Linked DNA regions of Macaca mulatta. The protein of the gene in region 2 binds, or shares a complex with, the protein of the main gene of each other region. Links are inferred from orthologs where the notes say so. Each region holds a gene or a part of one and is shown on either strand. Other genes may lie near its edges.

Region 1 (10,254 bases), on a different chromosome or scaffold from region 2:
AAGGACAAGGTAAGATATGATATACACCTACAAAGGAATACTCTGCAGTCATGAGAAAGAGGAAGTTCTCTATGTACCAGGAAAGATTACTCTCAAAGTTACATTCTTAAGTGAAAAAATACAGTTTAGAACAGTGTATACAAGCAGCAATAAATTATGTACCAAAATGTGCAGGCATATGTGTATGCTGTGTGTATAAATATGTGTATATACATGTCTGCTCATAGGTACATAAAATATCTCTACAGATAATGGTGGGTGCCTCTGTGAGGGGAAACTGTGCATGTGGCTGGAGAGGAAGGATGGGCAGCTACTCACTCTATGTTCTTCAGTGAACTCCTGAATCTGAACTTTATGAATGTACTACCTACTCCCAAAATAACTTAAAAAACAGGTAAAGAGGACCACAAAAATGTTTAGAAAAATTAGTGCCACCACAGGTAGCTTCTTTTTTAAAATTTCCATGGAAATTACTTTAAATACAACTAATGCTCCAAAGAAAATAAAAGGACTTTCTTTCTGATGGACTTCACAGAGAAATGAATTCAAGAAAGTAGAAAAATTACTTACACTCTTAAGTATATAATTTTAGAAATCAGGTCCCAATATAAAAGCTGTTTTCAATTCTACATACAATGCACAAAGAGTAATATGAATAGATTTTACTAATAATTAAAAATAACTGGCTCATGAAGAGATATTACACTTTTAGAAGAAATGAATTAAATTTTGTGAAATATTCTGAAGAAATCTAAACCTTAAGCTTACTAAAACAACCATTTTTTTCTAAAAACAAATGTTGCAGTACTAATGAAAGTCATCAGATTTAGTTTTATAATTATGAAATATTTGATTATTTTAAAACATACAAAGTGGGATTATTAAAGCCTGAGACTGCTTTGGGTCACAATCAGATTTTAAATTGCAAACGCAAGAACGATATTTTGCAGAGAATTCAAAAAATGCACAAAAACACACATTAGTATCCATAGCTGGCAGACTTTGTTACTGAGAGGCACTGAGGTTCAACAGTTAAAAGCATGAATCCATGGCTCTGAAGCAGGATGCCTGCATCCAAACCCATACATCTAGCAACAAATCAAAGTGTATTCTACTATTCTTCATGAATGTTCAAAACATTATTATTTCTTCATTATTATTGTTCTGGGATGCAGTAAGCCTAATTTCAGTAAATGATATGAGTTGAACTGGCTTTTTTTCATTATTTAAAAAAAACCTGACAGTACTAATACCTTTCCTGCCATTATGAAAGACTTTCATAAAGCTTTTAACAAATATCCTTTAACTGAATTTATTTCTTGGATAAGCACGACAACCTGGTATTTCCCCTTTCGTTAAAAGATAAAAGACATCCGAATTCAAAGAAGGAGCAAGCATATACTTTCCAACTATTTCTGATCAACATTAGAACTACTCAGTAATATAATAAATACTTCTGGTATTATTCTCTAATTCCTTTATACAGACAGCTTCACCATACCCAGTGTCACACACTATTATGACTTTCAGAGTACACTTAATAGTTAAAATGAGATCACCATTGTCTGAAACATTTCTGATACTTATAATCACAGATGATGTAATTAGAATCAATTATTGCTTTATTAGATCTCCAGATGAATAATGGGTATCTTTCTGGTGGGTTTATAACTTAAGAACATTGAATGTAATTTTGCTGTTTCTTCAATAAGAGATGCTAACACTCAAAAGAGGATTGTAAATCACTAAGACTTCTAAGTGAATTAACTGCACTATTAACTATTTCGTCATATCGCCAGTGTAGTGGGGTATCTCTGCATTCCAATTTGAGCACCCTTTATGCTAAGGTAACTACAGAAAAATACAGAAAGTCCTCATTTTGCACAGTCCCAATATGCACATTTTAGTTTGCATGGCATAATACCTGAATAACTGCATAAAGTAGTATAAACTTTTCTAATTCTTTAGTCTACAAATCATAACATAAATAATTACGCAACTAAGAGATGCACACTGTCATCAGTAACCAGCCACATCATTTCTTTCAAAGTATGTTGATGGTTGGTCACTGTGCATCTGTTATGCAGTTCGTGCAGAGATAGCAAAGCATGTAGTTTTGTACCTCCTTGTCTCCCAATGATAAAGTATGTGACATTTAGAAAAAGAGATAATAAAAAGAGGAAACTGGCCGACAAAGATGAAATACAGCAAAGAAATGAAAAGTAATAATGCTGGAAGTGAATTTCAAATAAAGAGTTATAGAAGAAACAGGTGACCAAGGGAATGCTGACACTATCCCTCTAGATACACAGAGAACTCAGTGAAGGCAAACTTATTGACATAAATGAGGAAAGCGGTTGTGACGAAAATTTTCCAGAGGACATGATGCTGGCAAAAAATATTCATATTAAAGGAAATCTCAGAGATACTTCAAAACATTGAAAATACACAGACAAAATACTTCATAAAATTAACATATGGCATATAGAATTTATTCAGTAACAAATTAAAAATTTCTTACCTTGGTAACTTTTTATACAAGAATCGCTTTAGGTCCTGAAAGAGAATATTAAAAAATCATGTTATAATAATAGGCCTTCCACTGTTTTCTAGATCCTGTCCTATCCAAATTTTAGGGACGTTCAGTTATCATTCATAACCTTTCTTGCTGTGTTTTATCTTTCTCTGTCTGATTTGGATGTTTACTAGTCATGCAACTTGGAGTAAGTTAACTAACCTTTTTTCCCTAAGCCTATTTCATTATTTGTTGAATAGGGCTAATATAGAACCTACATCATAAGAGTGCTGTTAAAGTTTTTTGAGAAGTTGCATGGATTAGCATACCTAGAAATGGGAAACACAAATACATTTTAGCCATAAAAATATATCATAATATTCATACTAGTGTTTTATATCCTGTTGCTATTGTGTTCACTTGAGAAGACATTATAAACACCTTTCCAGGTTCAAAGATAGACTTTCCACCATCATTTTAATGGTCTTGGGTAAGGTGATATGACTTCTGTAAGACTGCTGTCTCACATTATAAAAATATGCCTTCCATTGTTTCATTATTTGTTGAACTCACCTACTCAACAAATAATGAAACAGTGTAAGGCATATTATTATAACATAATTATTAAAATATTCTGTTTAAGGACCTAAAATAAATTATATATGACTATGTGAGGCAACAGTCTTTTTTTTTGTTTTTGAGAGGGAGTTTTGCTCTTGCTGTCCAGGCTGGAGTGCAATGGCGCAATCTCGGCTCACTGCAACCTCTGCTTCCCAGGTTCAAGCGATTCTCCTGCCTCAACCTCCGAGTAACTGGCATTATAAGCACCCACCACCACGTCCCAGCTTATTTTTTTGTATTTTTAGTAGAGATATGGTTTCACCATGTAGGCCAGGCTGGTCTCGAACTCCTGACCTCAGGTGATCCACCCGCCTTGGCTTCCCACAGTGCTGGGATTACAGACGTGAGCCACCACGCCCAGCCCAGACTTACAGAATATAAGATAAATGGCGAAGTGTGTCAAGTGTTTAACACTAAACACAGTTAAGACTAAAGAAATATAAGACTATTTTATTTTTCTAAGCTGGGGCTCACTGCAACTTCCAAGTTCTGGGCTCAAGCAATCCTTCCGCCTCACTTCCAGCATAGCTGGGACTACAGGGTTATCAATGCGCCTGGTTTTTAAATTTCTTTTTGTATAACGGGGTCTTGCTACGTTGCCCAGGCTGATCTTGAACTCCCAGCCTCAAGTGATCCTTCCATCTCGGCATCCCAAAATGCTGAGATTACAGACGAAGCCACCTCACCGGCCAGAAGATTATCTTATTTTGTCTCATTACACTCTCTCATCCCAGGAATTTCACTGACACTTGAGGTATCAATTTTGACCTCGCATGGATTAATCAGGTATCTGTTGTTTTGAGCCTCCAACACTTACTATTCTCCAAACCCGAATGATCATTTTATTTCATGTTATGACTATTGGCTTATTTTTGCTCTCATCCTACACACACACACACACCCCTCATTTTATTTCATGTTATGTTTCTAAAGAGGCATGGGTTAGAAATCATCGTAAATTGCCACAATAAACCTAATAAGATATTGTTACCACTTACTGGAAAAAAGTATTCTGGGTACATGTCCTACTGACCAAATTCTGACAGGAAAAGCAGCGAACCATCATTCAGAATTTCAAATGGTAAATACACAGAGCCTCTCTTATACCCCAGCTGGATTGGTGAGGAGGGAGAATATAATTTTCTCAGTCTCAAGCACCTTAGTGTCCTCCACCCCCATTCGAGGCAGAAACTCAGGATCCTGCAAATTCATTCATATTAGTCTCCCATTTCACATACAAGAGAAAATAATTAACTGGGATGGGTGGGGATGGGAGGATCTTCTACCTCTCCCCGCTCAGTATTCCCCTCCAAATTCCCCACTCTCCCTTCCTCTTATGTGGGGGTGTCACTCACATCCGCCATGATGAACCCCTTTCTCTCGCAGGATCAATCTCCACGCCTGGAAGAGAAACTCCCGGTGACTCTTACCTCTTTGGCTTCCTCGTCCTCCCCACCCCCAACTTAATAAGCAAGATCAGCCCTGGTCAGAACCCGGCAAAACCCCCGCGGTTCTAGGGCTTGGCCCAGCGAGCCCAGTGGGAGTCGGAGTGCCCCAACACCCCCACGGGTACTCAGCTGGCACGCCTTGCCTCAGCCCACCCCATCCCTGCCCCTCCACCCCAAAGAGCTAGGCCCAAACAAAAGAAGAGGGGGCCCTCTCCTTCTGTTTAGTCTCACCACCCGCGCCACCTCCGGGACTAGGCCTCAAACCAGGCAAAGTAGCGCCAGTTACCTGGGGTTTCTGGGTTGCCTGGTTCTCTCCGTTGTCACTTCAGGGACAGCTTTAAAGACAGGTTCCTCCTCAAGCCACCGTCACATGATTGATGACCTCTTCGGCGCTCCGGGAAGCACTTTCTACGCCGTCGCCCCACGATACTGGATTTCCGGAAGGGCCTGGCGGAAGCTTCGAGGGCGCGGCCGCCCGACGCGCCCCGCCCCTCCCCCGCCCACCGCGGGCCGCGTCTTGCGCCTGCGCCTTGTGTCACGGGCCGAGGGACGTCAGCTGTGGGGTAGAGGATTTGTACGAGATCGCTGGACCCTGAGGACCCCAGAAAATGCAAGCAAGGTTATGTGTTACAAGACATTCTTGTGCAGAGAGGGTGTATAAATGTCATTAGTTTTTCAGGGTCCGTTATCTTAAAACCTTTTCTTGTAGATGAAGTAATTTGAGGGGATGGTGTGATGAGCTGAAGAGCAAGCAACAGATTGCCTGTGATTGGAAGTATCAGGTCCACAGGTTTCTGACTTGTTTCCTAGGTTCTTGTGACTTCCCCATGGGTGCTCTTTACTCAAGGCCTTATCTAGATTGAATGGGGAGGAGCCATGGGTTTTCTGGAGCACTTCAAGCGTCTACTTTTAACATGCAGACACGGGATTACGGGTACTTTCTATGTTCCCTTTTACATCAGAATTTTTAAAAATTAGTAAGGTCTCATATAATAAATAATAATTGGAAAAAAAAAAAAAAAAAAAAAAAAAAGCCTTGCCGGGTGCGGTGACTGACGCCTGTAATCCCAGCACTTTGGGAGTCCGAGGCGGGACGATCCTTTGAGCCCAGGAGTTCCACACCAGCCTGGCAAGATAGAACCCCATCTCTACTACTACTACTACTACTAATAATAATAACAACAATAAAGAATTAGCCTTACGTGGCGTGCGCCAGGTACTCCGGAAGCTGAGGCATGAGGATCCCTTCAGCCCAGGGTTTGAGGCTGCATTGAGTGGTGATCGCCCCACTGAACTCCAGCTTGAGTGACAGAGCGAGATGCTCAAAAGAAAAGCTTCTTTAGAAATCACATCCTCTTTCAGCTACCACCCTGTTTTTCCTCTACTCCCTTTCATAGCCAAATTTTCAGAAAATTTTAGCCTGGTTTTTAATTGCTGCTTGCATGTCACAAATCTAATCAGAGTTCTGTTGATTCTACCTCCTATCTTTGAAAACTAGTCACCTATCTATGTTCGTACCCTAGTGCAAGCCATGATCATCTCTCTCTTGACAATAACCTCCTATTCTTCTTACATTCTCTTTTGCCCTCCAGTCTCCATAGAGCAACAAAAATGATGTTCTAAAAACCCAAATCGGATCATTTAACTCCTTTCTTGAAAATCAACTTTATTATAAAGTTCAATATCAGCATCATGGTTTATATATCGTTCTTATGGGGATCTGGCCCCTATATTGATTCTCTCACCTACCCTGGATTCCTTATGCTATGATCATACAAGTTTGTTTCCACTTCCATAAAGATTTTTATCACTTTACCAACTTAGCACATTCTGCCTGAGATATTTCTCTAGCATACCTTAATCCTACTAATCTCTTCTTTTGCCTTTCAGCTTAAACTCACTCTCAGAGAAGCCTTTCCTGACCCTCACTGAATAGTTTAGGCCTTCTAGATAAATGCTTTCATTGTGCCCTGTAATTTTCTTTGTAGAATTTATCATAATTATAATTATTTACTTGATATTTATTTTCTTTGCTAGATGGAAACTCTAAGGTTTTTGTCTTTCTTATTCAATGATTGATTCCCAGCACCCAGCTCACTGCCTGGGATATAGCAAGCATTGATACACTTGTTGCCTAGTTGAATGAATGAAAGAGTGGCCATATTAAGAGTATAAAACATGATAAAAACAAACATTTTACAGTGAGAACAGACCTTTTTATTAATATATTGAGATAAACTACAGAGACTGAAAGACAAAAATTCATATTTCATTCAGAACATTCATTAAAAATCAAATGCATTTACTTTGCGTTCTCACAGAAAATTTTATTTAAGTCTGATATAACATTAAATATTTTACAAATCAGACATTTCATTTTAAAATCTAATTTATAATCCTGAATGCATTATAGACAAAGTAAGCTCTCCTTTACTAGTTTCATTTAACTTATACAAGGCTTCCATTATAATTCCATCAAACCTTAAAAATTACCTGCAGCTTTTAAAAATACATAAAGTAAATGGAAAGAAAGTCTTATGCAGCAATCCAAAAACCAAAACCAGAAATTGGCAAGAAGCATTTCTTAATACAGATAAACTGCAAAATATCATTTATGTGTGTTTCTTTCTTCTCACTGGTTTAATCATCCTATTCAAAATAATTCTTTTTGAAACTAATAATTACAATACTCCAATGTCACTGAAAATCTCTGATTTTAATTGTGTACTTAAATGGCAAAGTAGAATATCAGATTGAAATGTACAGTCTTGTGCTGAAGTGAATGAGGCTTGCCATGCCAGGTGTCATCTGCTATGCAGTTACAAGACATCTTGGCAACTAGTCATCCCAGTTTTTACTAACTTACTAAACAAGGACATTTCAAGAAATACTTCTTAACCCTATATATTTCCAGATGGCTGGATATAGAAAGATATAATTATGTTTGAAGCATGGACCTTATAATAGGAATCTCTGCATTAAAATATGAAAAAGAGCAACAGAAAGAAGTCACACCAATGAAATTGTGTTGACTGATTTTCAAAGTTAGAAATAAAAATATCCACTGCTAATGGAAGCCCTGCACTGTGCAAACATAGTGTGGTATATATTAAACAATCACACATTTGAGGTATTAGCTGGAAAAAAATATATATATACACCTGTACATAGACACATCCACAGAATATTCACAAATCTATTGGCCCCAACACCAGCAGATAGTCATATTAAATAAAAAAAATCACATACCAACAGGAAAAAGTTACACATAGGGAATTTACAAAAAATGTGGTACTATAATCCTTAATATAAGGAGTATGTTTTGAATTAATGTTTTGAGGAAAAGTGTTTCCATTTATATGAAAGTTATCTATTTAATAGTAATAAAACCAAAAAGGAAGCTGAATTCTAGGACTGTTTTGCCTGCCAAATTATTGAAGGGATGAACAAGAATTCCTTGAAAAGCCTCATTCTATCCTTTTTCTTTGTAACTAGAAATTAGAATTTAAAATGTTGGAAATTATTGCCAGATTACTTTCTTTTCATTGGTTTATAGGGTATTTTATGGATTTTAACTAGGCAATAGTCCAATGTGGTCAACAGACATGGTTTTTCAGCTGTTGAATGAAAATTAAAATAGGTATTGTTGATTTTCATTAGTTTTTCTGTTCAGATAAGAAAAAAGATTATGAATTCCCTTTCAGTTTGCTTCACTCAGTATGAAGATGGCTAGTAGTAATAGGATAGTACTGAACCCAAGCTTCACATGGGGAAGCTCAACAAATGTACAAATTCTCCTCTTTTAACCATTTGGTCCTTGGACATAAAACTTGCTTAACTGGCAAGATGGCTCACTTGGTCCTCAAGCCAACATCAAGAAATATTTAGCTGTCTTAACACAGGTGGGAGGTTTTTTTTTTAATGAAATACATAGGAATCCATTAAGTAACATCAGCATGTCGTATGTGTTAAATAGCTTCGTTTAAAAATATTACAGATCAACAGAAGGGAAATCAAAAACGTAATCATTTTTCTCAGTAACTACTTTACATACTAGTGTAATTAAAGATTTAACTGGAAGAAAAATTAAGCATAAAAGTATAATTAAAGTGAAAAGCTGGTATTCCACATTCCTGTTCCTATGAACACCTGAGCTGACACAAAAGCTGAGTAGTTTAATGCACTGGCATATATATGCCTTAAGGACTGTACTTTTCTCTACCAAATCTTTATAAATCATAAACAAGCATGTAATGATTATGAAACAAATATTTAGGCGTTCAAATGTAATGTTTACAAAATATATTATATTCACTTATTAGATGAATCCAACTTGACATTTTTCATTGTTGAGAATTCAGTTCACATTTAATCAAACTACATTCTGAAATTTACAAATGACTAAATGACTAGCACCAGTCTATTTGGGAACTAAGGAATCAAAAGAAGAGGAGAAGGGTACTATTGTCATTTCCCCCAAACCCTCACAAGGACAATAATGTTTGTGTGCATATGCATTGGTGTATTTGTGTGTGTTTATGTAAAAAGGGGTAAAAATGTAAAGCATTAATAAATATAACTGCTGCTAAACTGTTAGAATACCAGTTAGAGGAGCTAATAAAGCACTATTCAAAGATTGAGGACTTTTAGGTGGTCATTAGAATGAGCCAATGAAATTGCAAAGTTCATGTAGTTAAAAATAAGATGGCAAAATATTGGGATTTTTATTATAAAAAAGCAGCAAACATGAAAATATTTCATCTCAAGGTATCTAAACTCTTCTTACTTTGTATGATTAACTCCAAATTATAAGACACTTGTTGAGCTTTTACACCATGATATAGATGACATTAAGGACTGAATCTTTACTTGCATATTTCATATGTGGCTTAAACTGTCAGGCACTCAGTCTGTCATTTCTCACTGCAGAAAATTTTATCAAACACATTTTCCCTAGCATTTTATGAAATTTAATGGAATGCAGCAATGCAACTGAAATATAATACTGTCCAAAAGCCATGTATGACTTTATGATATACACTTTATGGTACCACTTAACTTTGTATAATAACTTCACCTATCTCCTTAAAGCTGGGATTAAGGGAAAAAGAATCAGTCAACAAGAAGGTAAGTTCACAGAATTATCAGCCATAATAGTGTAAATTTGCCATTAAAATTAGAAAAATAGATGAAATATTTTTCATTCAAGTTTTCATAAATTTTCTGATACATATGAACTTTCAAAGTTAATTAAAATGCTATGAACTTAGTTTTTTTAAAAAAACTTACTCTACAGGCTCAACAAAATATTTAAAATTGTATTTTCTCTTAGCACTGTTTTTTTTTTTTTTAAGGTAACATTTCTAAGAGCAAGTTGGTTAAGCTGTCTAGTTTTCCTATGACAGTATGTTGTTTAGTTTAACCTACTAATTCAATCAGGCATTTCTATTGATTCACCTGGAAAAGGGGATACAACAGAACATTTTTAAGAGCTCATTTTAGCAGTTTTATTCAACAGATGCCATAAATTAACTACATTCAGAAAAAAAATTTAAACAAAGAACAAAGCCACCCTATCTAGCATTCTCTCACTCACAAAGAAGTACCAAAGATATGTTTATGTTCCACTAACCAAGTATGAAGCAAAATCATTAAAATATTACAACTGCT
Region 2 (10,160 bases):
GCTCCCGGGCTGTGCCTCCCCTGGGATGCCTCCCAGACGGGGGTGAAGAGGCCTGGCAGAGCTGCCTGTCTGTGTCTGCTGATCAGGGACGGGGGAAAAGCTGTGAAGTGGGCGGGCATGGCTGGGACTAAGCCACCAGTATTCCCCGAGTTCCTGTGGGGGGGGGCTGGCCCCACCCCTAGGCCAGGGCAAGGGTTTCCAGAGCTCCCTTGCCCCCCGCCCTTTACCCTGGTTCTAAGTTTACAAAGTATCTTCCTCATTCCCTTTGAGTTCTTTCCCACCTCTGACATTCCCTCCCTCCCTCCTGCAGGGCTGAGATTAGAGGGTGGTGATGGCTAAGGGCCCCTGACAGTGACCGTCCTGTCTCAGGGGTTGGGGACAGGGCCAGGCAGGTGGCCTCCTGCCCCTCATGTTTACTTTTGCAGCCTGAAGCACTTTAAGTTGTTGTGGTTTTTTTTTTTTTTTTTGGTCTGTTCCTGTAACTTATTCTCCAACTATTGCTTCCAACTGAAATAAGACTATTAAATGCCTGTTCAGGAGGGAGAAGGATGACTAGTTTGTGTACTGATGGGAAGAGCAGAAGTCGCCAGGGCTCAGAGTGACTCCCTTCCCCTCCAGCTTTTTCTATTTCCCAGTTTTATAGCACACAGAGGCACCCCTGCCACACCCAACTTGGGCTAAAGTGCATGACTTTCTCCCCAGAAGGTGGAAGACAGACATGGGGTGTAATCATTCCCACACTAAACACACATGTCCCTGGGCTAGAGAACATCAGGCTCATGTTTATTAGGGAGGGAGAGAGGGAGCACAAAGGGAGGTCTCCTTGCCCTTGTTCTCCTTAACACAGCTCACAGTCTCCAAGCTTTGGCCCATCCAGGTAGGGGTAGGAGGTGGGCGAGCAGAAGGCCCTAGTTCTAGCAGCAAGCCAAGACTGACGGCTGTGCCTGCCTCATCACAGAGGCCCAGGACCCAATCCGCTTCTCCGACCCTCGCCCTCCGGCAGGCTCAGACATCAATGGGCTCCCGACCTCGGTTCTGCCGCTTCACCACAAACACCCTCTGTCCTGACACCGTCACCAGCAGCGTGTGTTCTCCAAAGACCACTGGAGGAGAGACACACCTTCCCCCGCCCCAGGAGAGGGAAGGGAGCACAGAGTTAGTGGGTGCAACAGACTCCATGGGGCGGGGCCACACGCACATTGGCTGGGATCAAAGCCAAAGAAATTCTATCGTTCCAGGCTCAGAGATTTGAAGATGAGTGGCCTCTGCTACATCTCCTTTCTCTTGCCTTCTCATTCACAATTCTAATACAGGGGAGTCCCAAAGGGAGGAAAGTGGCCAGACCAGAGACCCCAGGAGGAGATGGTGGGAGGCTGGGAGGAAGAAGAGAAGCCTCTGGAAGCGGCCCTTCCTCCCAGTACTACCACCAAGGGCAGGGACAGGGGCTCACCAGACAGGCGCTTGAAGGGCACATTCATGCCGTGGTGCAGCCGGAAACCGCAGGCCGTGCTGACCAGCTCAGAGATGGCACTGGCTGCTTGCTCGTCATTCTCCAGGTCCCCAGATGACTGCATGCAGACGGAGGAGGGAGGGGGCGAGCATTACGGCACAGGCTCGGGACGGAATTCCAGGCACAGTCCCCTTGGCTCTCACACTTAGACCATCTCCCCCTTGGCTTGCCAGTACCCTTGGGTCACCCAGCTTTGGAAAAAACCTGAAATCTCCCCCTATGTTGTCACCCTCCAGATGCCATCCTGTTTCCCGTAATACTGGACTTTCCCGGATGAGCAGCAGCTTATCCATCTCTCTTTTTTTTTTTTTCTTTTTTTTTTTTTGAGACGGAATCTCGTTCTGTCACCCACGCTGGAGTGCAGTGGTGCAATCTTGGCCTCTCGCGTTCAAGTGATTCTCCTGCCTTAGCCTCCCAAGTAGCTGAGATTACAGGTATATACCAGCATCACCACACCTGGCTAATTTTTTATATTTTTAGTAGAGACGAGGTTTTACCATATTAATCAGCTGGTCTCAAACTCTTGACCTCAAATGATCTGCCCGCCTCAGCCTTCCAAAATGCTGGGATTACAGACGTAAGCCACCGTGCTTGGCCATCCATGTCTTTATTGACCCATGCTTTTCTAACCCCGTGAAACTGGATTTCTCCCATGTCCCTGCCTATTTGATAAAACCACATTCTCCGAAATGAATGCCTGCCCACCACTGACCTGTTAATGGCTCCATCTTTTTCTCAATCTTCACACTTGCTGCCCTGTTTGCACAATCTCCAACATAAACATTCCGTTTGTCCTTGAATCCCTCCCTCTGTTGACCCCTAGAGTAAGTGATGGGACAGTGGCTTAGGGTTCCTCTTTTCTGGTGACTGTCTCAACTTCCTCTTCCCTCTTCCTTGATATGGGCCTCCACTAGATTTAGTTCCTTTTGCTGAGCTAGCAATATATATTAACTGCTATTTTACATCAAACTCAATGTCTAAAGTTGGGCCATCAAATTTCACCTTATCCTTATCCACCTCCTTTCCAGTCTACTTCCTTTTTTGATTTGTTTGTTTGTGTTTTGAGACGGAGTCTCACTCTATCGCCCAGGCTGGAGTGCAGTGGTGCACTCTTGGCTCGCTGCAACCTCTGCCTCCTGGGTTCAAGCAATTCTCCTGCATCAACCTCCCAAGTAGCTGGGATTACAGGCATGTGCCTCCATGCCAGGCTAGTTTTTTGTATTTTCAGTAAAGATGGGGTTTCACCATGCTGGCTAGGCTGGTCTCAAACTCCTGACCTCAAGTGATCCACCCACCTCAGCAGCCTCCGAAAGTGCTGGGATTATAGGTGTGAGCCACCACACAGGAACATGTTTCTTTTTTTTTTTTTTTTTTTTTTTTTGAGACGGAGTCTCGCTCTGCCGCCCAGGCTGGAGTGCAGTGGCCGGATCTCAGCTCACTGCAAGCTCCGCCTCCCGGGTTCACGCCATTCTCCTGCCTCAGCCTCCCGAGTAGTTGGGACTACAGGCGCCCACCACCTCGCCCGGCTAGTTTTTTGTATTTTTAGTAGAGACGGGGTTTCACCGGGTTAGCCAGGATGGTCTCGATCCCCTGACTTCGTGATCCGCCCGTCTCGGCCTCCCAAAGTGCTGGGATTACAGGCTTGAGCCACCGCGCCCGGCCTTAAGGAACATGTTTCTTAAGGCATCATCACTCTTCCAGGCTTTAAAGTTCTAGCTAGAGAAGTATTTCTTTTATTACCTATTTCTAGTCATTAGCAAGATATACTGATTCCTTCTTTAAAATATCTTCTCCCAGCCAAGCACAGTAGCTCATACCTATAATCCCAGCACTTTGGGAGGCCAAGGCAGGAGGACTGATGGAGGCCAGGACTTCGAGACCAACCTGGGCAACATAGCAAGACCCCTGTCCCTATAAATTTTTTTTTTTTAATGGCTGGGCGTGGTGGTGCTTGCCTATAGTTCTAGTTACTTGGGATGCTGAGGTGGGAGGATCGCTTGGGCCCAGGAGTTCAAGACTGCAATGAGATGTGATCACACTACTGCACTTCAGCCTGAGTGACAGCAAGACTCTGTCCTAAAAAAAAAAAAAAAAAAAAAGGGCCGGGCGCGGTGGCTCATGCCTGTAATCCCAGCACTTTGGGAGGCTGAGGTGGGCAGATCACAAGGTCAGGAGTTCGAGACCAGCCTGGCCAACATGGCAAAATCCCATCTCTACTAAAAATACAAAAATTAGCCGGGTGTGGTGGCACACGCCTGTAATCCTAGCTACTCAGGAGGCTTAGGCGGGAGAATCGCTTGAACCTGGGAGGCGGAAGTTGCCCTGAGCTGAGATCATGCCACTGCACTCCAGCCTGGGCCACAGAGCGAGACTCTGTCTCAAAAAACAACAAAAACAAAAACAAAACTCTTCTCTCCTTGCTCCTTCTTACTGCCACTTGCCCAGTCTCATCTCTTTTTTTTTTTTTTTTTTTTTGAGACGGAGTCTTGCTCTGTCACCCAGGCTGGAGTGCAGTGGTGCAATCTTGGCTAACTGCAACCTCCGCCTTTCTGGTTCACGCCATTCTCCCGCCTCAGCCTCCCGAGTAGCTGGCGCCCACCACCACGCCTGGCCAATTTTGTTTTTGTATTTTTAACAGAGACAGGGTTTCACCGTGTTGGCCAGGATGGTCTAGATCTCCTGACCTCGTGATCCACTCGCCTTGGCCTCCCAAAATGCTGGGATTACTAAAGACGTGAGCCACCTATGCCTGGCCCAGTCTAATCTCTTAATGATGCCTCCTTCTGCCCATCTTCACATCACTAACAACAATATTGCTCAACCACCTCACTGGGTCTTGTTTCTGTTTAAAAAACCTTTCAAGCTGTATTACCTCCAAGAAGAATAAGTTCAAGTGTGTTAACCTGGCCTTGAAGATCCTTCACAATCAGATCCTCCCTGACCATATCTTCCTCTTCCCTCAAATCTTCCCAAATCTTTTCAGCACAGACTTACCATCAGTTTAGAAAGGTCAGTGCCACACACCTGCAAATATGTCCACCTCCCCACTGTAAATACTCTCCTTTAAGCTGGGCTGAATTCCTACCTCCAGGGAAGTTAGTTACCTTGTCATAACATGTTGAATTTTTAATATCCTGGATTCCTTCAATAGTCTTTTACCACCTGTATTGTTTTCAACACTTAACCTTAAGCTTTGTCTCTAGCTAAATCAAAAACATCTAGAGACCTAACACTATACAGTACTATGGAACAAAATACAAATGACTCTTTAAGAAATATCAAATAAAGGCCAGGGATGTTGGCTCACGCCTGTAATCCCAGCACTTTGGGAGGCTGAGGCAGATGGATCACCTGAGGTCAGGAGTTTGAGACCAGCCTGGCTAACACGGTGAAACCCCGTTTCTACTAAAAATACAAAAAAATAGCCGAGCGTGGTGGCACATGCCTGTAATCCCAGCTACTCTGGAGGCTGAGGCAGGACAATCGCTTGAACCCCGGAGGCGGAGGTTGCAGTGAGCCGAGATCGCACCACTGCACTCCAGCTTGGGCAACAAGAATGAAACTCAGTTTCAAAAAGTGTAAATAAATAAGTAAATAAATAAACCGCAACCGTTAGGAGACTAAGATTCCACAGACTGATTACTGAAAGTAATTGCAAAAACTGCAAATACTTTTGTACCAACCTAATAGATGCCAGACCGCAAACCAGGTAAAAGTCGAGAAAAGAAGGGCCAATATTAGAAGGGGTTACCGGGCTGTGTGCACTAAGGGACCCCCTCCCTTTCCCAGAACGCACCGCCAGCACTGCACCTTCACTCAGTACCAGGTAGCCGAGCTGGTCTGGGATTCGCTCCAGCCCCTGGGTCAGTGCAGAAGTCTAGTGGGTAAAGATGCAAGTAGTGAGAAGCATGCTAGAGGGATGGATGGCCCCTGATACCCTTCACCTACAAACCCAAGTCTCTTGATTGGCGATGGCCCCAGGTTTTCTCATTCCCCAGCCAGGTCCTTTCCCGGCTCCCTTCCCCCTACATGGTCCTCAATACTGATCTTCCCGAGCCTCCATCTGCCCCCACTCTCGGCCCCCGGGCTCCCCTGGCCTTCCACGCTCCACCTATGCTACTCCGAGGGGACTTCGCTGCCCCACTGGCCCCTGCCCCCAGACCCTCTCTCCACCTCCCCGCCCCTGACCTGCAGACTACCCGCAGCCCCAGAACACCCTCCCACAGACCCCTCCCCAGCATTCCCATCGCCATCCCTCCCATCTCCATCCCGTCTTCCTCCCCGAGCGGATAGGAGGTGAGGGTGGAGCGCAGACCCACGAGGGGGAAACCACACAGATTGGGGAGCAGAGACGCGGAACCCCCGGCGGGTCCTCCCGCGCATGCGTCCTCACTCACCATCGCAGTCTTCGGTGCTGGTGGAGCTCCCTACCAGATAGGTAGCTTCCGGCTTCAGGCCCCGGTCACGTGCTCGCACCCGGAGCGCTCCTCCTTCTGCTTGCTTCCCTACCCTTTAGCCGCGCCTCTAGCATGAGGATTGGATCGTGGCCACGTCGTCAGACCCAACCAGCCAGTGCGAAGCGCTCCTTCCCGGAGGCGCACGTTGATTGGTGATATCCCCTCTTTAACACCCATCTCCCCGCCTCTCAGTCAGTGCCTGAGCGAGAGGAGGCGGGAGTGCTTCCGCGGAGGGGACGGTGTGGGAGGGCCAGGAGTGGGACAGGGTTGACCGTGTGGCTCCGCGCGCGCTTTCTAGAGTCTGGGTTCCGCCTGAACCAGGATGCCCGCTAGTGTGACCTCCCAAACGAATGCCTTCCCAGGTTTAAGACTGGACCCAAAAAACGTGATAATAAAAGGAAATAACGTGCAATGCATGTAAAAAGCTATTCAAGGCTGGGCGCCCAACCTTCAAATGCTACTTTTATGCCTACTCAAGACCGCTCTTTGTTGAAGACAAGAATTTGTTCCCTTGGCCGGGCGCGGTGGCTCACAACTGTAATCCCAGAACTTTGGGAGGCCGAGGCGGGCGGATCACGAGGTCAGAAGATGGAAACCATCCTGGCTAACACAGTGAAACCCTGTCCCTACTAAAAAATACAAAAAAATTAGCTAGGCGTGGTGGCGGGCGCCTGTAGTTCCAGCTATTCGGGAGGCTGAGGCAGGAGAATGGCGCGAACCTGGGAGGTGGAGCTTGCAGTGAGTCGAGATGACGCCACTGCACTCCAGCCTGGGAGACAGCGAGACTACATCTCAAAAAAAAAAAAAAAAAGATTTTGTTCCCAAAGTGGTTTTTTGTCTTCAGATTCAGTCTGGGACAATGTGATGGTGAATAGAATCACCAGCTAGCCAATGCAGATACAATACTGAATATTCTCTGCAGGAAAAAATTAGAAACAGTACCTTGGAATGATACACACACACACACACACACACATACATACATACATACATACATCACACAATGTAAACATTGGAAATTTTTGTTTTAAATAATTTCTAGACCTGTTGCCGTATTAATGTGGTGGAGGCAGTGTTAGTGAGTAATATGAAGAGTGATTCTAGAAGCCTGGGCAACATAGCAAGACCCCATCTCTAAAAATTTAAAAATTAACCAGGCATGATACCGCACATGTAGTCCCAGCTACCGGGGAGGCTGAGGTGGGAGAATTGCTTGAGCCCAGGAGTTTGAAGCTGCAGTGAGCCATGATCATGCTACTGCACTCCAGACTGGGTAAAAGAGCAAGATTGTCTCAAAAACAAACCAAAAAAATCTGAATATAGTAACAATTGTTGAAGTCTGGGTGTCTTTTAAGACTTGTTAGAAACAACAATCAAGGCTGGGCATGGTAGCTCACACCTGTAATCCCAGCTGTTTGGGAGACCAAGGCGGGTGGATCACCTGAGGTCAGGAGTTCAAGACCTGCCTGGCCAACATGGTGAAACCTCATCACTACAAAAAATACAAAAAAAAAAAAAAATTAGGCAGGTGCAGTGGTACATGACTGTAATCCCAGCTACTGGGGAGGCTGAGGCAGGAGAATCCTTGAACCCAGGAGGCGGAGGTTGCAATGAGCCAAGATTGTGCCATTGCACTCTGACCTGGGCAACAAGAATGAAACTCCGTCTCAAAAAAAAAAGAAGATTTTGATGTAATAAATTATGGTGGCAGTATTCTTTTGTTTGTTTGTTTGTTTTGTTTTTTGAGGCGGAGTTTCACTCTTGTTGCCCAGGCTGGAGTGCAATGGCACGATCTCGGCTCACCGCAACCTCCGCCTCCCAGGTTCAAGCAATTCTCCTGCCTCAGCCTCCCTAGTAGCTGGGATTATAGGCATGTGCCACCAGGCCCAGCTAATTTTCTATTTTTAGTAGAGACGGGGTTTCCCATGTTGGTCAGGCTGGTCTCGAACTCCCGACCTCAGGTGATCCACCCGCCTCGGCCTCCCAAAGTGCTGGGATTACAGGCGTGAGCCACTGTGCCCAGCCAGTGGCAGTATTCTTGATATTTAACCATCTTTATCGCTTCTCGACCTTCTGGCTAAGATCAAGTGATATTTAACTATCTTTGTGTTTCTGGAATAAAATCTACTGGAACAAATTATACTACCCATTTGTTGTACTGCTTTACTTAGAATTTTAAAAATCCATTATGATAAATGAGATTGGACTATAGTTTCTTTTTGGTATATTATTTATCTGCTTTTGGTAGATAGAGCAGGTTGCCAGAAAAAAATGAATCAGAGTTCCCTATCTTTTTTATCTATGATCTGCAAATCAAACTGGTTAGACCAGCTCACACTCCTCTAGCAATGTGTCAGAGTTCCCGGTTATCTCCAGCTCCATTAACACTTGGTATTACGACACTTTTTTTTTTTTTTTTTTTTTTTGAGACAGAGTCTCGTTCTGTTGCCCAGACTGGAGTGCAGTGGCGCAATCTCGGCTCACTGCAACCTCCGCCTCCCGGGTTCAAGCAATTCTTCTGCCTCAGCCTCCTGAGTAGCTGGGACTACAGGAGCGCACCACCACACCCAGCTAATTTTTATATTTTTAGTAGAGACAGGTTTCACCATGTTGGCTAGGATAGTCTCGATCTCTTGACCTCGTGATTTGCCCACGTCAGCCACCCAAAGTGTTGGGATTACAGGTATGAGCCACCACACCTAGCCAGTATTGCCACACTTTTAGATATGTGATGGCTTCTCATTGTGGTTTTTATTTGCATTTACCTAAATATTAATGAGGTTGATCACATTTTCAGACAGGTTTGTCTTTTGGGATATCATATTTTGTGAAGTATCAGTTCAACTTTTTTTTTTTTTTTTTTGAGATGGAGTCTCGCTATGTTGCTCAGGCTGTAGTGCAGTGGTGCACTCTCAGCTCACTGCAACCTCCGCCTCTCGGGTTCAAGCAATTCTCCTGCCTCAGCCTCCCAAGTAGCTGGGATTACAGGGGCATGTCGCCATCCCGGCTATTTTTTTTGTATTTTTAGTAGAGATGGGGTTTCATCGTGTTAGCCAGGATGATCTTGATCTCCTGACCTCATGATCCGCCCGCCTCGGCCTCCCAAAGTGCTGGGATTACAGGCGTGAGCCACTGCACCCAGCCCTTTTTTTTTTTTTTTTTTTTTTTTTTAAAGAAAGGATCTTGCTCCGTTGCACAGGCTTGAGTCCAGTGGTGTGATCATGGCTCACTGCAGCCTTGAACTCCCGGGCTGGAGCAATCCTCTCACCTTAGCCTCCTGAGAAGCTGGGACTACAGACGTGCACCACCCCACCTGGCTAATTTTTTTATTTCTTGTAGAAACAGGTTCTCTCCATGTTGCCCAGGTTGGTCTCGAACTCCTGGGCTCAAGTGATCCGCCTGCCTCGGCCTCCCAAAGTGTTGGGATTATAGGTGTGAGCTGCCATGTCCAGTGTGACAAATGGCTTTACCTTTTTGAATGCCATTATGGACACATAGATTTTTATTGATTTGATGTAGCTCAATCAGTACAATCATTGTTTTCTCTAATATTCAAATGTTCACAATTTTTGCTGAGTTGGCTTGTGTCCTTTTTGACGTAACTCTGGCATTAGAAAGCTTCTCAGACTTGGCTGGGCATGGTGGTTCACTCCTGTAATTCTAGCACTTTTGGAGGCCGAGGCAGGTGGATCACGAGGCCAGGAGTTCAAGACCAGCCTGGCAAGATGGAGAAACCCCCATCTCTACTAAAAATACAAAAAATTAGCCGGGTGTGGTTGTGGGCACCTGTAATCCCAGCTACTTGGGAGGCTATGGCACAGAATTGCCTGAACCTGGGAGGCGGAGGTTTTAGTGAGCCGAGATCGTGCCACTGCACTCCAGCCTGGGCAACAGAGCGAGACTCTGTCTCAAAAAAAAAAAAAAAAAGCTTCTCAGGCTCACTTTGTACCTATTTATGCCCCAAACTTGGAATTTGTTGATTCTCTGAGGATTTGTGAGGAATTGGAAATGCATATCTGGGGATTGTGAGTGCCCATTTTTATGGGATAACATAGTTTCTAGGCCACTCTGCAGGCAGAAGCTGTAGATAGATAAAAGATGGAGGCCGGGTGCAGTGGCTCACACCTGTAATCCAGCATTTTGGGAGGCCAAAGCGGGCAGATCGCTTTGGCTCAGGAGTTTGAGACCAGCCT

What was found. Proteins that work in one complex are often made in the same cells at the same time.
Region 1: LAMTOR4 (region 2) and LAMTOR3 share a complex: the UniProt entries of both Homo sapiens proteins name them as parts of the ragulator complex. The link is inferred for Macaca mulatta from reciprocal best matches to the Homo sapiens genes LAMTOR4 and LAMTOR3.

The regions. Positions count from the first base shown.
Region 1 is NC_133410.1:109,208,333-109,218,586, forward strand, and holds the start of LAMTOR3 (ragulator complex protein LAMTOR3), read right to left. Parts: upstream 4,955-10,254; 5' UTR 4,871-4,954; intron 4,538-4,870; 5' UTR 4,501-4,537; coding exon 4,492-4,500; intron 2,557-4,491; coding exon 2,522-2,556; intron 1-2,521. Other genes in the region: uncharacterized protein LOC144340815, read left to right, coding at 4,955-5,203. UniProt on the Homo sapiens protein: As part of the Ragulator complex it is involved in amino acid sensing and activation of mTORC1, a signaling complex promoting cell growth in response to growth factors, energy levels, and amino acids.
Region 2 is NC_133408.1:47,464,149-47,474,308, reverse strand, and holds LAMTOR4 (ragulator complex protein LAMTOR4), read right to left. Parts: upstream 5,979-10,160; 5' UTR 5,911-5,978; coding exon 5,830-5,910; intron 5,389-5,829; exon of another isoform or gene 5,388-5,388; coding exon 5,307-5,387; exon of another isoform or gene 5,053-5,306; intron 2,607-5,052; exon of another isoform or gene 1,805-2,606; intron 1,569-1,804; coding exon 1,451-1,568; intron 1,121-1,450; coding exon of another isoform or gene 1,104-1,120; coding exon 1,006-1,103; 3' UTR 763-1,005; downstream 1-762. UniProt on the Homo sapiens protein: As part of the Ragulator complex it is involved in amino acid sensing and activation of mTORC1, a signaling complex promoting cell growth in response to growth factors, energy levels, and amino acids.